Saccharomyces cerevisiae S288C: one gene and its partners. Changing the gene in region 3 together with the main gene of any one other region gives a genetic interaction. Each region holds a gene or a part of one and is shown on either strand. Other genes may lie near its edges. The genes, in order: AZF1, ARF3 and YMR1.

Region 1 (4,815 bases), on a different chromosome or scaffold from region 3:
CGACCTTTGTTGCACCTATCAGGTTAGTAGCATCATCACTTACTGAACTTATGTCAGGTATAGGAGGTTCTTTACCAGAAAAGTTTGCCATTGCTGCTCCTTCAGCAGAAGTAGAATTGTCTTTACTCATCGGGGGATCAGTACGGGGCATCTCATTCTTGACGTACACAGTAGAATCATCCTTTTTCCTTTTCTTGATAATATTAGGTTGCATACCAGACTCGTCTATATGTTTGTTCAATCCCTCACTGCCTTCAATTACGTCGTTTTTATCCAATGGTCTTGATATAGCACTAGAGTAATTATCCTCATCATTCAAATGTTTTCGAAGTCTTTGTTCTATTTCTTTTAGATCTTTCCTACTATTGCTTGTGGTATCGGTAGAAGCAAGGCTATGGTCCTCTTGGTTTGGGATATTAGTACTGGTGGCGGAATTAATACTATTGTCGTTATTATCATTATTGTTGTCATTGTTGTTTTCATTGTTGTTGTTGTTGTTGTTGTTGTTATTGTTATTGCTACTGTCATTGCCATCATCATTGTCAACTTCATTACTTTTTCCTTTCATGTTATTGGTAACATTATCCGCGACAGGATCACCATTAGCTTTGTTGTTAACGGATAGTGAGTTTAATCTTGATTCAGGTATAAACGCATTTTGGCTGCTATGGTCCAAAGTACCTCTAACAAAAGAATTCCGCCTTTTGAATTGAAAATCGAAATCTTCAGGATTAAACTTCAAAGAATTATTTCTTGAACTCAAAAAGTACGGGTTCTGATTAGAATTACTGTTGTTTGTACCAGTATTAAAAAATGATTCATAATCTGCATTTGTGTTCATATTCCCACTATTATTGGTGCCATTGGACTGGCTTTTAGTAGTTGCTGCAGGTATTAACAGTGGAGGTCTCATAGAGTTTGATTCTCTTCTACTGCTAGGCTGGAACTGCGGTTGCTGTGACTGCTGCATACTGAAAAATTCAAAATCAGGCCCATCATTAGGTCCAAGATAAACAGAGTTTCTTTTTGAAGGTGGCTGCGAAGTATTATCATTTCTTGGTAAAAATTGATATTGAGAAGAACTTCCCGTTAATCCCGTCGAAAATGAAGGGGTCTTGAAGGGAGGCTGCTGGTGCGACTGCTGTTGTTGTTGTTGCTGCTGTTGCCGATGCTGATTTTGAAGCTGCTGTTGTTGTGGGAAGAGGTTGTTTACAATGGAAAAGCCGCGTCCGATTTGCGACAGGTCTGGCGGTTGATGTGTACTTGAAGTGGATAATCGTGGAAGATTGGAATAGGCGCCGCCAGAACTAGGTCCTCCTGTACTTGTTACTGGTACGTTATCAGATATGTTCAAGAATGAGTTGATAGAGGCGTCCGTGGAATATCGTGGCTGGTTGAAATTTGTATAATATGAAATCGACTCATTCCTTTGTTGTTGATGTTGCGGTTGAGAAGAAGCCGGTTGACTTTGATTAAGAATAGGAGTAGGGCCTTGCCCATGCTCCTGGTTTTGCTCCCCAGCTTCGCCTGATGATTGATTTTGGCTTTCATTTTGTCCCGCCTGCGTAGGGCCCATGAACTGTGCAGTTGGAGGAGGCATGGCTGGTAATTTTTCAATATCTGAATCTTTTGAAGTATATCGCTTGTGTAGCTGTTTTTGTCCCAATTAATTTCTCTGTGGGACCATCTATAGTACTACAAGGTTCCCTTTTCTGATGACTCTTCTTGCTTATGCTTCATTTCTACTGGAATTAAAGGGACCCTTCTTTTCCTCCACTTCTCAAAGAAGCGAAATCGCGGGGCACGGGCGTAATGTTTCTAAATAACGATTAACACTGAATATATCCTTCTACAATACGTAGGGCTATATAAGTCTTGGGATCACCAATTCGTATCCCAGGAGTCTGAATCCCCATCATCATCCCAGCCGTCAACATTTCCTTTCTTGGTTACCGAGCCGCGGATACTACTTATAGGCTTACTTCTTGCAGTTTTATTGGACAGTGACGATTTGGTGGTAACAGTAGAGTTACTAGCAATGTTTCTTGGTGCTAGGATCGTTGTTTTCTTCTTCTTGATAGAAAGCCTTGAGCTAGGAGCGATGGATTTTGCCAACGTTGAATTTTGTGGCCTTGTGTGTTTTTGAGGCACCTTTGATGGGCCGCTTTCATCTTGAATCCAGCCATCATCATTCAACTCATCATTCCAACTTTTATTAATTTTAATAGGTTTTCCGAATAATTTTGGGGTGCTTGCGGTTGTTACAGGGTTTGTTGTTTCATCGAAGGATTCTGTGGTACCATTTGTAATAAAGCCATCGGTATCGCTGAGGTCGTCCCATCCACTTCCATCCTGGGCGGAATCAATTTCGCTCTCGGTAATGTTACTTGGTGTTGTTGCTGAGGGAGAATTTAAACGTAAATTATTTAAAAATTGTGCGGCTAACAAATTGTCTTCTTTATTCATATCCTCTTCATCACAACCGTAATTCTCAAAATCAATATCTTTCACATCTTCCGAATCTGCAGTACTATCGTTTGTTTGAATAAGTTGGGCTTCTTTTTCCAATTTTTCCAGATATTCTTCGAACAGGATTTTGGCTCTGCCTCTTACTATGGGACTTTTATCTAATAAACCAGGGGCAATGACTGTTAAAATTTTGTTGGCGATTGTGTTCACATCAAACAGCTCAATCGACTTCTCAAGCCCATAAAGAGCAGCCAATCTTGGTTTTACTTGAGGATCTTTCAAAGATTTTGTGAACGCCGTAGCTAAAATATTCGAGCGATTACCAACTGACGTTGATAATATGGTTGAGATTTTACTTATTATGATGACTGTCCATGTTCGGATTTCAACGTCAGAATCAACCTGTGTTTTTGCGAGAAACCTCAGTAGCTCATTATTCAGTTGTCTCTCTGTTAAACATGACACAATGCATGGAATTGTCTTCAGTGTTTGTAATCTAAGAGTGGCATCAGAGTCGGTCAGACCTTGGATAAAATGTGGATATATCCTACTGGAGATCTCTGATTTGCTCAATGGACCTATTAATTTGGGTAGGTATATTAGTAAAAGAAATCTTACTTGCCTATCTGGCAGTTTAAAACTTTGGGTGATAAGGTCGTTGAAACCAACTGGAAAGGTGTTCGTTTCAGAAGTTAGGTCTAAAACAATCGCTAAGAATGGTACTAGTTTATGTGATGCGTTGAAGTTCATGCCTATAGGGCTGGCAGCACTACTGATGCTTTGTGTCATTAATAATTTTATAATTTCACAAAGCTCTGGAATAATAAAATTTTCTATCATTCCAGGCGTTAAATTACGGAAAATCTCTCTTGACTCTAAATACAAATTTTCCAAGTTTGACATCACAACCAATTTTCCCTGTGGGTCCTTTATATGCAACTCCCTCAATTCTTGATAAAAGTTTATCAAAGGATTAGAACGCCAAGTTTCTGTATTTTCTAGCCTTTTTCTGAAGTTTTCGATTGTTATCTTTCCATCTGAAATCATATTTACATTGACAATCCAATCTTTGGGCAGACAAGAAGGAGCCATAAGGCTCTTTATCAACAATCCTAACCCCATTGAATCAATTGTATTCGGATCTTCACAGGGCAACTGTGAGCCAATTATGTTGTAATATGACCTCGCTCTACTGGCAAATTCAAACGCACTTAATCCTTCTTTGCTTGAACAAAGTTCTAGCCCAAATAGTACCCACTCTCCCTTAATATTGATAAAAACAGAATCTTTAGAAAGCGTACCAAGGACAAAGTTTTTTAAAAATCCTAAAGTTGCCAATAATTGTGATATTCCTAATTCAACACCAAATTTGTTTTGAGATAAAGAGCCTAGATTATCCCAAGGAAATGGAACTACTCGTTCGGTAACAATAAATGTGGATTGGGGGTCGGAATCAAATGTCTCCAGCACCGTACAAAGTCCTGGAATCTTCAAAATTTTGCTCTTGTGTACAGCATTTAAAATTAAAGATTCATTTTCTGGAGATCTTTTTGCCTTAAAAACTGTTACTGGCAAGGAATCTGCCTTCCTTGTACCATCGAAACATTGCCAAAGGGCGGTTTCAGTGATTGCAGTTTCCTCTATGGTGTATGGGAACTGGAAATTCGAAATAGATTTGAAAATGCTGGAAAAATTCATCACTTACAGATACTTGTTCACCAATAAAAGCAACGATAGTAACAGTGTCAAACTCTCGACTAAATAACTTGACGATATTATTGTTTTTAAGATACTTATATTTAATATAATCATAATATAAACAGACAAAGAGAAAGGGCCTTTTTGAAGGTGAAAAAAATAGAAGATGTGCGCGAAAGCGTGAAATTCAAAATGCGTATTGCTTTAAACTTTCTTTACCATCAATCGAAAAACTGTCTCGTAGAATGTTAATAGCCGTGTTATTTAGCGCATGTATCTATTCACCAATGTGGCCTTTAATATCCGTTCCACTCATTCTTCTGGTGTTGCAAAGATTAACATAGTTAACTGAGCAACACCAAAGAAAACCTAAACGAAGGTTATATGGAATTAGCCTCAGCATAGAGTCCTTTGAACGTTTTATTGAGCGGTAAACCAACTACGTTATAGTAATCACCTTCAATTTTTTCAATTAGAATAGCACCTTGCCCTTGTATTTTAAATCCACCGCCAACCTCCAGCCCATCTCCGCTTTCTACATATTCTTCCAATATTCTCAAAGGTATTTTGTTATCAAAGTATACCTTGGTTTCATCTCGGAATGGTACCAATTCAAAGTTTTCTCTGCCGTACCATTTAATTAAAGTC
Region 2 (4,267 bases), on a different chromosome or scaffold from region 3:
TGCGTTGCAGTGTGAAACTGTTTCAATTTATTACATGCAATTTATTCTCTTTGTACTGGGACGTTCTTTTCTCTTGTAGAAAATTAACAACATCGTGTTACATAAACTTGGTTACCGCATACTGCAACCTCATATAAATACAACATAGGAAAGAAATGGCTGCCGGTGTCCCAAAAATTGATGCGTTAGAATCTTTGGGCAATCCTTTGGAGGATGCCAAGAGAGCTGCAGCATACAGAGCAGTTGATGAAAATTTAAAATTTGATGATCACAAAATTATTGGAATTGGTAGTGGTAGCACAGTGGTTTATGTTGCCGAAAGAATTGGACAATATTTGCATGACCCTAAATTTTATGAAGTAGCGTCTAAATTCATTTGCATTCCAACAGGATTCCAATCAAGAAACTTGATTTTGGATAACAAGTTGCAATTAGGCTCCATTGAACAGTATCCTCGCATTGATATAGCGTTTGACGGTGCTGATGAAGTGGATGAGAATTTACAATTAATTAAAGGTGGTGGTGCTTGTCTATTTCAAGAAAAATTGGTTAGTACTAGTGCTAAAACCTTCATTGTCGTTGCTGATTCAAGAAAAAAGTCACCAAAACATTTAGGTAAGAACTGGAGGCAAGGTGTTCCCATTGAAATTGTACCTTCCTCATACGTGAGGGTCAAGAATGATCTATTAGAACAATTGCATGCTGAAAAAGTTGACATCAGACAAGGAGGTTCTGCTAAAGCAGGTCCTGTTGTAACTGACAATAATAACTTCATTATCGATGCGGATTTCGGTGAAATTTCCGATCCAAGAAAATTGCATAGAGAAATCAAACTGTTAGTGGGCGTGGTGGAAACAGGTTTATTCATCGACAACGCTTCAAAAGCCTACTTCGGTAATTCTGACGGTAGTGTTGAAGTTACCGAAAAGTGAGCAGATCAAAGGCAAAGACAGAAACCGTAGTAAAGGTTGACTTTTCACAACAGTGTCTCCATTTTTTATATTGTATTATTAAAGCTATTTAGTTATTTGGATACTGTTTTTTTTCCAGAAGTTTTCTTTTTAGTAAAGTACAATCCAGTAAAAATGAAGGATGAACAATCGGTGTATGCAGATTCAACACCAATAAATGCAATGTTTATTTCTTTGGAACGTTTGTGTTGTTCGAAATCCAGGATAATCCTTCAACAAGACCCTGTCCGGATAAGGCGTTACTACCGATGACACACCAAGGTTGGTTTTTCAAATTTTTCTCCAGTTCTAAAAAATCGGAAACCTCTTGAGGTTTCATTGCATCTTTCAAATCTTGTTTGTTTGCCCATACCAGCAGTACTACATTCTCCATCTCTTTCTCACCTATGATACTATATAACTCTTCTTTGGCCTCTTCCATACGGTTTCTAGCACTAGAATCTATCACAAAGATAAGTGCGGTGGTGGCTGGAAAATAATGTCTCCAGAGAGGTCTCAATCTTTGTTGTCCTCCTACATCCCACATGTTGAATTTTACGTTTTTATAAGTAACGGTTTCCACGTTAAAACCGACAGTGGGAGTAGACGTCTTTATTTTATTTAATTTTAGTTTGTACAATATTGTTGTCTTACCAGCCTTATCCAGGCCTAGCATCAAAATTTTCATTTCTTTCGAGCCAAATAGTTTTCCCAGAACCTTCGAAATTGAATTGCCCATCTCTACAATTAGCTTGTCTTTTCCTTTTTTCCGTTCTAAATCCCAATTATCTTCCCAATGTCAAAGCAACTGTAATGTCTCAGTCTAATTCAGCGTACGTTGCGTCTTACTATGCTTCTGCAAATAGGGTTTTAATGCTGCGTACATCTTCATTATCTTATAAGTGCCATCATTCGGACGGGTAATGGATGAAATCGTCAAAACCCGATTACTTTCTAGTATGTTTTATTTCTGTTTATAATGTAGTCAAAAGAGCTTCAACAGATTTAACATTTGCTTCCGTAAACTTGGTGTTAGGGTGATTCAGTTCTGTGTAAAAGCGTGTGGCATTGAGTTACTCCAATGGATTTTTCTATTCCTCCTACCTTACCTCTAGATCTGCAAAGTCGGTTAAATGAGTTAATTCAAGACTATAAGGATGAAAATCTAACAAGAAAGGGTTATGAGACCAAAAGAAAACAATTGCTAGACAAATTTGAAATCTCCCAAATGAGGCCTTATACCCCGCTTCGATCTCCCAATTCGAGAAAGTCGAAACATTTGCACAGAAGAAATACAAGTCTTGCATCATCCATTACGTCGTTACCTAATTCAATTGACAGACGTCATTCTATCTATCGTGTCACAACTATAAACTCGACTTCTGCGAACAATACTCCCAGAAGGCGGAGCAAGAGATATACAGCTTCTTTGCAATCGTCATTGCCAGGTTCCAGTGATGAAAACGGTTCAGTGAAGGATGCCGTTTATAATCCTATGATACCATTACTACCAAGACACACTGGAGCCGAAAATACTAGCAGTGGAGACTCAGCAATGACGGATTCTTTACCGCTAATTTTACGGGGACGCTTTGAACATTATGATGGTCAAACAGCGATGATCAGCATAAATTCTAAAGGCAAAGAAACGTTCATCACATGGGATAAACTTTATTTGAAAGCGGAGAGGGTAGCACATGAATTGAATAAGAGTCACCTTTACAAAATGGATAAGATTTTACTATGGTACAATAAAAATGATGTCATCGAATTTACTATTGCATTATTAGGCTGTTTCATATCCGGCATGGCAGCTGTACCAGTCTCATTCGAAACGTATTCTCTGCGTGAGATCCTTGAGATAATTAAAGTAACAAATTCGAAATTTGTTCTGATTTCTAACGCATGTCATAGACAATTAGATAACTTGTATTCGTCATCAAATCATTCAAAAGTTAAACTGGTTAAGAACGATGTTTTCCAGCAAATCAAATTTGTCAAGACTGATGACTTAGGGACGTACACAAAGGCAAAAAAAACTTCGCCTACCTTTGATATACCGAATATTTCATATATAGAGTTTACTAGAACACCGCTAGGTCGTCTTTCTGGCGTCGTCATGAAGCATAACATCTTAATAAACCAATTTGAAACGATGACAAAAATTCTAAACTCACGATCAATGCCTCACTGGAAACAAAAATCACAAAGCATCAGGAAGCCATTTCACAAAAAAATTATGGCAACCAACTCAAGGTTTGTTATCTTGAATAGTCTGGACCCTACTAGATCTACTGGTTTGATAATGGGTGTGCTTTTCAATCTTTTTACTGGTAATCTTATGATATCTATCGATAGTAGTATATTACAACGACCTGGGGGCTATGAAAATATCATTGATAAATTTAGAGCCGACATTTTACTGAATGATCAGCTACAATTGAAGCAGGTAGTTATTAATTATTTGGAAAATCCCGAATCAGCTTTTTCCAAGAAGCACAAAATAGATTTCAGTTGCATCAAGTCATGTTTAACCTCATGTACCACTATAGATACCGATGTAAGCGAGATGGTTGTTCATAAATGGCTGAAAAATTTAGGATGTATTGATGCACCATTTTGTTATTCTCCCATGTTAACGTTATTGGACTTTGGTGGTATCTTTATATCTATAAGAGATCAATTAGGAAACCTAGAGAACTTTCCAATACATAATTCAAAACTAAGGCTTCAAAATGAATTGTTTATAAACCGCGAGAAATTGAAGCTTAATGAGGTTGAATGTAGCATAACTGCTATGATTAATTCATCAAGCTCCTTCAAAGATTATCTTAAATTAGAAACATTTGGCTTCCCAATTCCTGATATCACTTTATGTGTGGTTAATCCAGATACGAATACGTTGGTGCAAGACCTCACTGTTGGAGAAATATGGATCTCTTCTAACCACATCACCGACGAATTTTACCAGATGGATAAAGTGAACGAATTTGTGTTCAAAGCAAAACTAAATTACTCCGAAATGTTTTCTTGGGCAAAGTATGAAATGCCTACTAACGAAAAATCGCAAGCAGTTACTGAACAATTGGATACCATTCTGAATATTTGTCCTGCAAATACCTACTTTATGAGAACCAAGCTTATGGGGTTTGTTCATAACGGAAAGATATACGTGCTTTCACTCATAGAAGATATGTTTTTACAGAATAGATTAATCAGATTACCTAACTGGGCTCACACATCAAACCTTCTTTATGCCAAAAAAGGGAATCAATCTGCTCAACCTAAAGGTAACACTGGAGCAGAAAGCACTAAGG
Region 3 (4,815 bases):
TGATGAGATACTATCTGCGCAAGAGACAAGTTTAGTGATAATTGCTTCTTTGGTTCCACAAGATGTTAATCCTCAATTGCGTGGGCATTTGAAAGGTGCCTTGAATATTGGTTGTGATAAGGAAACTGTGGAGGCAGTGAGAGGATTGGCTATACTAATATCTCAGTGGTGTGGTGTTAGTTGGAAATCTGGTGTTGTAAAATTGTAAGCCCCTTTGCCGATCGGCCACTCGTTATGCTCATAATATATGTACCCTTATTCATTAAAATTAATATATATATATGTATACTAACAACGGAGAAATGCTTGAACTTTTCTATACTTCTATCATTGTATGCAAAATACTAACTCACTTATTTGTCTTCTTTGCCGTTAACCAGATCACTTTCTATTAAACATATCAAATCCAAAAATTGACAAATTTAAACCCTTACCGCCATCGGAATTACTATGCTCTTTACTCTTTTTATCCACCGATATGGGTACTGAGTCTCGTTTATGGCGTAATTCATCATTCATTTCTGAATCTTTTCTTCCATATAACTGCCACCACCATTGGACTTTCTTCAGATCCGGCGAAATCCACTCCACTTTTTCTTCCTCTTCAAGGTTTTGATCGTGCTCATTCATGCCGCTTCTTTTTCTCTGTATGAAATTTGGATTTATGAACTGCTTTCTTCTAGATCTGAAGTAGTCCCAGACACTTTTAGTCTTGTTTGGCAAATTCTGTTGAAATTTCTCCTTCTCGCTATTGGAAAGGAATGTTCCATATTGGCATGAATACAAGTGGTAAACTAGTCTTCTTAAAAATCTTTCGTTGAATTCAAATAGATCTGGGTTTTGCGTCAAAAGTTGGTATACACAGTCTAAAAATTGTTGGAAAACTGGGGAGACGAACTTTAGACTTTTCTTGTTCAATTTAAAGTTTTCGTTAAATTTTTTGGAAATTCTACTCAAATTAATTAAATTCGTCTCATCTTCACCTCCTTCATCATCTTCAGCATAATCGTCTTGAGTGTTAACACCTATGTCAAGATCATCGCCATTGGTATCCACATCGTTGAAGTTGGAATGCATAGTGTTATCATGAAATCTAATATCAGAGTTTAAATGACCACTTCTTTCCAAAAACCGGTGACCAAAAGAGCACCAATCTTTTTCCACTAGGATCATAAAACCTTCAAAAGTTCTATAGAAAGGATCCAAACAAATTTCTAATAGTGATACAACTTGACTGGTTCTGTCCCAACCGTCAGAACAATGAACCAAAACGTTGGAATGATTGAAAATGATGGACTTTAAAAGCATATCAACGGATTTTAAAATAAGAGTGTTCAACTTCAACCAATTGGAAAATTTTTGACTCCTAATTAAATTCTGTTCCAGTGGTAAATTCAAATCGCCACCTTGGCAGATAACTTCCGTCATGTATGCAGCTGTGTTGGAAACAATATGAATGTTATCTATACCAAGAAATAACCGTGTAACTGTGGGCAGTTTTAGACTTTTATCGACACCCATATTGTTATCAGCTAAAAAAAAATTATAATTATCCATATTTTCTGTCCCGCCACCCAACGCCATCTGTGCTAATGCATTTGTTCTGGGTCTGGCATCTACTATTACATGTTTCGTTCTTCTAATATCTTTATTACAAAATGAGTTGAAGCTTTCCCAAACTAATTTTTCATCTTGAATGGACCTCTGATTGATCAACCCCGGTAATGGTTGAGATGACCTAAGAATGTTGCAATCTGTTGCCTTGTGATGATAAGTTAAAACAGGAATTCTTTTCTGTGATCTAAACTTCGAAGCATGCTTCAATAATATATCTGACGTGGATCTTGGTACAAAAAGTTTTGAGGGATACGTTGGACAAAATTCATAGTGTTCGTTTACCGTGGATAGCCTCCAAGGACATGTTTCATCTTTACTGTCGAGGCCCTGCCTTCGAAATTCCTTAATTGGGTCATATATATCCCAGCTATCGGGTGAAGGTAGTTTCCTTTCCAGATTGTTGGATATGTAAATAAATGCATATAGTTGCGTGATATTGGACAGGACCGTCAAATTTAAGATGGAATCATACACCTTTCTTGCCTGTAGATGTAAATCACCACCGAAATCCAATGAGAATACCGCATAATCTTTCCCAATTACCTTGATATTTACAAAAGACCATAGATCCTTACCCTGGTAAAGCTTGTAATTCTGTGAATCCGTTCCCTCCAATTGGATTTGATTAGTGGAAGTCAACTTGGACAGTAATGTACTACCCGGGTTTTTATGCACTCCATAGATCAAAGGATATGGAAACCAAAATTCCGTCGACAATTGTGGTGACTCAAAGATCAAATGGTGAGTAGTCAAATGTAAAGTACCTTGTGTGGCCGTACCTCTTCTATGCAGCACTACATTAGATACTTTGGCAATCTTGATGTACTCCATCTTTGCGGAATGGTATACTATTTCTTTTCCCTCTTTTTAGCACTATTACACCCCGCCCACAAAATAAAAATAATAACGACGACCTAATCTCACCAAGTGACCCTTGTAAAACCTCCTTTTCTTTATAATGTTTCTTTTCTTACTAATATTTGGTACATTTAGGGTAGTGATAAAAGAATGGCAACATTGTTATTATTGTGAAAAATGAGGAAAATAGAAAATCAGAAACCCTAAAAAGTGATTTTACCCTATCAGAAATATTCAAATGTCCTAATTAAAAATAGTAAATCCCCTAAACATTCAGATTGTAAACTAGGGTTGAGAAAATGACTCATCCACCACTGTCTTCTTTCCTGCGGCATTCTATAGATTATTGTGAATGACTCTTATTGATGAGATGGCAATAACTTTTGAATATCAGAGATAGGAACCTCCATGTCGTAACGATTGTGTCACCTTGAGTAAGCATCGAGAAAATCCAATCTTTTTTTTTCCGTCATAAGCATTTCTGCCATGCTATTTGTATATATATAATTACTAATACGTCTTCTATAGTATGCCTTATCTCTTTTTTGAAGCGCTATTTAAGTTTAAGCATCGAAAAACTAACATCTATAGTTAAAATTAGTTCTATAAAGGAAGAGCAATACAGTACATAGACAGGAAGAAAAGAATGACATCGATTTATACATCAACAGAGCCTACGAATTCTGCTTTTACTACCGAGGACTACAAACCTCAATTAGTTGAAGGAGTAAATTCTGTACTTGTCATTGGATCAGGAGGGCTCTCTATTGGTCAAGCTGGTGAATTCGATTACAGTGGTTCTCAAGCTATCAAAGCTCTGAAGGAAGATAACAAGTTTACTATATTGGTTAACCCAAATATCGCTACTAACCAGACTTCTCATTCCCTGGCGGACAAGATTTATTACTTGCCCGTTACACCAGAATACATCACATATATCATTGAACTTGAAAGGCCGGATGCTATACTTTTAACCTTCGGTGGTCAAACAGGTCTAAATTGTGGGGTGGCTCTGGATGAATCTGGTGTTTTGGCTAAATACAACGTCAAAGTTTTAGGTACTCCTATCAAAACTTTGATCACTTCTGAAGATAGGGATCTTTTCGCATCTGCGTTAAAGGATATCAACATTCCCATCGCAGAATCATTTGCTTGTGAAACCGTGGATGAAGCTTTGGAGGCTGCTGAAAGGGTCAAATACCCAGTTATTGTCAGATCTGCATACGCTTTGGGTGGGTTAGGCTCAGGTTTCGCTAACAATGCAAGTGAAATGAAGGAACTTGCCGCACAGTCCTTGTCGTTGGCCCCACAAATTCTTGTTGAAAAATCTTTGAAAGGTTGGAAAGAAGTTGAATATGAAGTGGTCAGAGATAGGGTTGGTAACTGTATTACAGTATGTAATATGGAAAATTTCGACCCACTTGGTGTTCATACTGGTGATTCTATGGTTTTTGCTCCTTCGCAGACCCTATCAGATGAAGAGTTTCATATGTTAAGATCCGCCGCAATTAAAATCATTAGACACCTTGGTGTTATTGGTGAATGTAATGTCCAATACGCTTTGCAACCTGATGGGCTAGACTATAGAGTTATTGAAGTGAACGCACGTTTATCTCGTTCCTCTGCATTGGCGTCTAAGGCCACTGGTTATCCCTTAGCATACACTGCCGCCAAAATTGGGCTAGGCTATACTTTGCCAGAATTGCCAAACCCAATCACAAAAACTACAGTGGCTAACTTTGAGCCATCTTTGGATTATATTGTGGCAAAAATACCTAAGTGGGATCTTTCTAAGTTCCAATACGTGGACAGATCCATTGGTTCCTCTATGAAATCAGTTGGAGAAGTTATGGCTATTGGTAGAAACTATGAAGAAGCCTTTCAAAAAGCATTAAGACAGGTGGATCCATCATTATTGGGATTCCAAGGTTCTACTGAATTCGGCGATCAACTTGATGAAGCCTTGAGAACTCCAACTGATAGAAGAGTCCTTGCCATTGGTCAGGCCTTAATCCATGAAAACTATACTGTTGAGAGAGTTAATGAATTGAGTAAAATTGATAAATGGTTTCTTTACAAGTGCATGAACATTGTTAATATCTATAAAGAGCTTGAATCAGTTAAATCTTTAAGTGACTTGAGTAAAGATCTCTTGCAGAGAGCCAAGAAATTAGGGTTTTCAGATAAGCAGATTGCGGTTACTATAAATAAACACGCCTCCACAAACATTAACGAACTGGAAATCAGAAGTTTAAGAAAAACGTTAGGTATAATCCCTTTTGTCAAGAGAATCGATACTTTGGCCGCAGAATTTCCAGCACAAACCAATTATTTGTATAC

What was found.
Region 1: of YMR1 (region 3) and AZF1, extra expression of one rescues a mutant of the other (dosage rescue), as found in Saccharomyces cerevisiae (one study listed by BioGRID).
Region 2: of YMR1 (region 3) and ARF3, extra expression of one rescues a mutant of the other (dosage rescue), as found in Saccharomyces cerevisiae (one study listed by BioGRID).

What each region holds. Positions count from the first base shown.
Region 1 is NC_001147.6:530,860-535,674, reverse strand, and holds the start of AZF1 (Azf1p), read right to left. Parts: upstream 1,601-4,815; coding exon 1-1,600. Other genes in the region: COPI-interacting protein CEX1, read right to left, coding at 1,882-4,167; YOR111W (nucleotide diphosphatase), read right to left, coding at 4,548-4,815. UniProt on the Saccharomyces cerevisiae protein: Transcription factor involved in the diauxic shift. In the presence of glucose, activates carbon and energy metabolism genes, and in te presence of glycerol-lactate, activates genes needed for cell wall maintenance.
Region 2 is NC_001147.6:500,217-504,483, reverse strand, and holds ARF3 (Arf family GTPase ARF3), read right to left. Parts: upstream 1,690-4,267; coding exon 1,138-1,689; downstream 1-1,137. Other genes in the region: ribose-5-phosphate isomerase RKI1, read left to right, coding at 156-932; CMR2 (Cmr2p), read left to right, coding at 2,032-4,267. UniProt on the Saccharomyces cerevisiae protein: GTP-binding protein involved in protein trafficking; may modulate vesicle budding and uncoating within the Golgi apparatus.
Region 3 is NC_001142.9:631,248-636,062, reverse strand, and holds YMR1 (phosphatidylinositol-3-phosphatase YMR1), read right to left. Parts: upstream 2,449-4,815; coding exon 382-2,448; downstream 1-381. Other genes in the region: PXP2 (Pxp2p), read left to right, coding at 1-208; carbamoyl-phosphate synthase (glutamine-hydrolyzing) CPA2, read left to right, coding at 3,122-4,815. UniProt on the Saccharomyces cerevisiae protein: Lipid phosphatase which dephosphorylates phosphatidylinositol 3-monophosphate (PI3P). Involved in the control of PI3P-dependent signaling and in the maintenance of endosomal system integrity.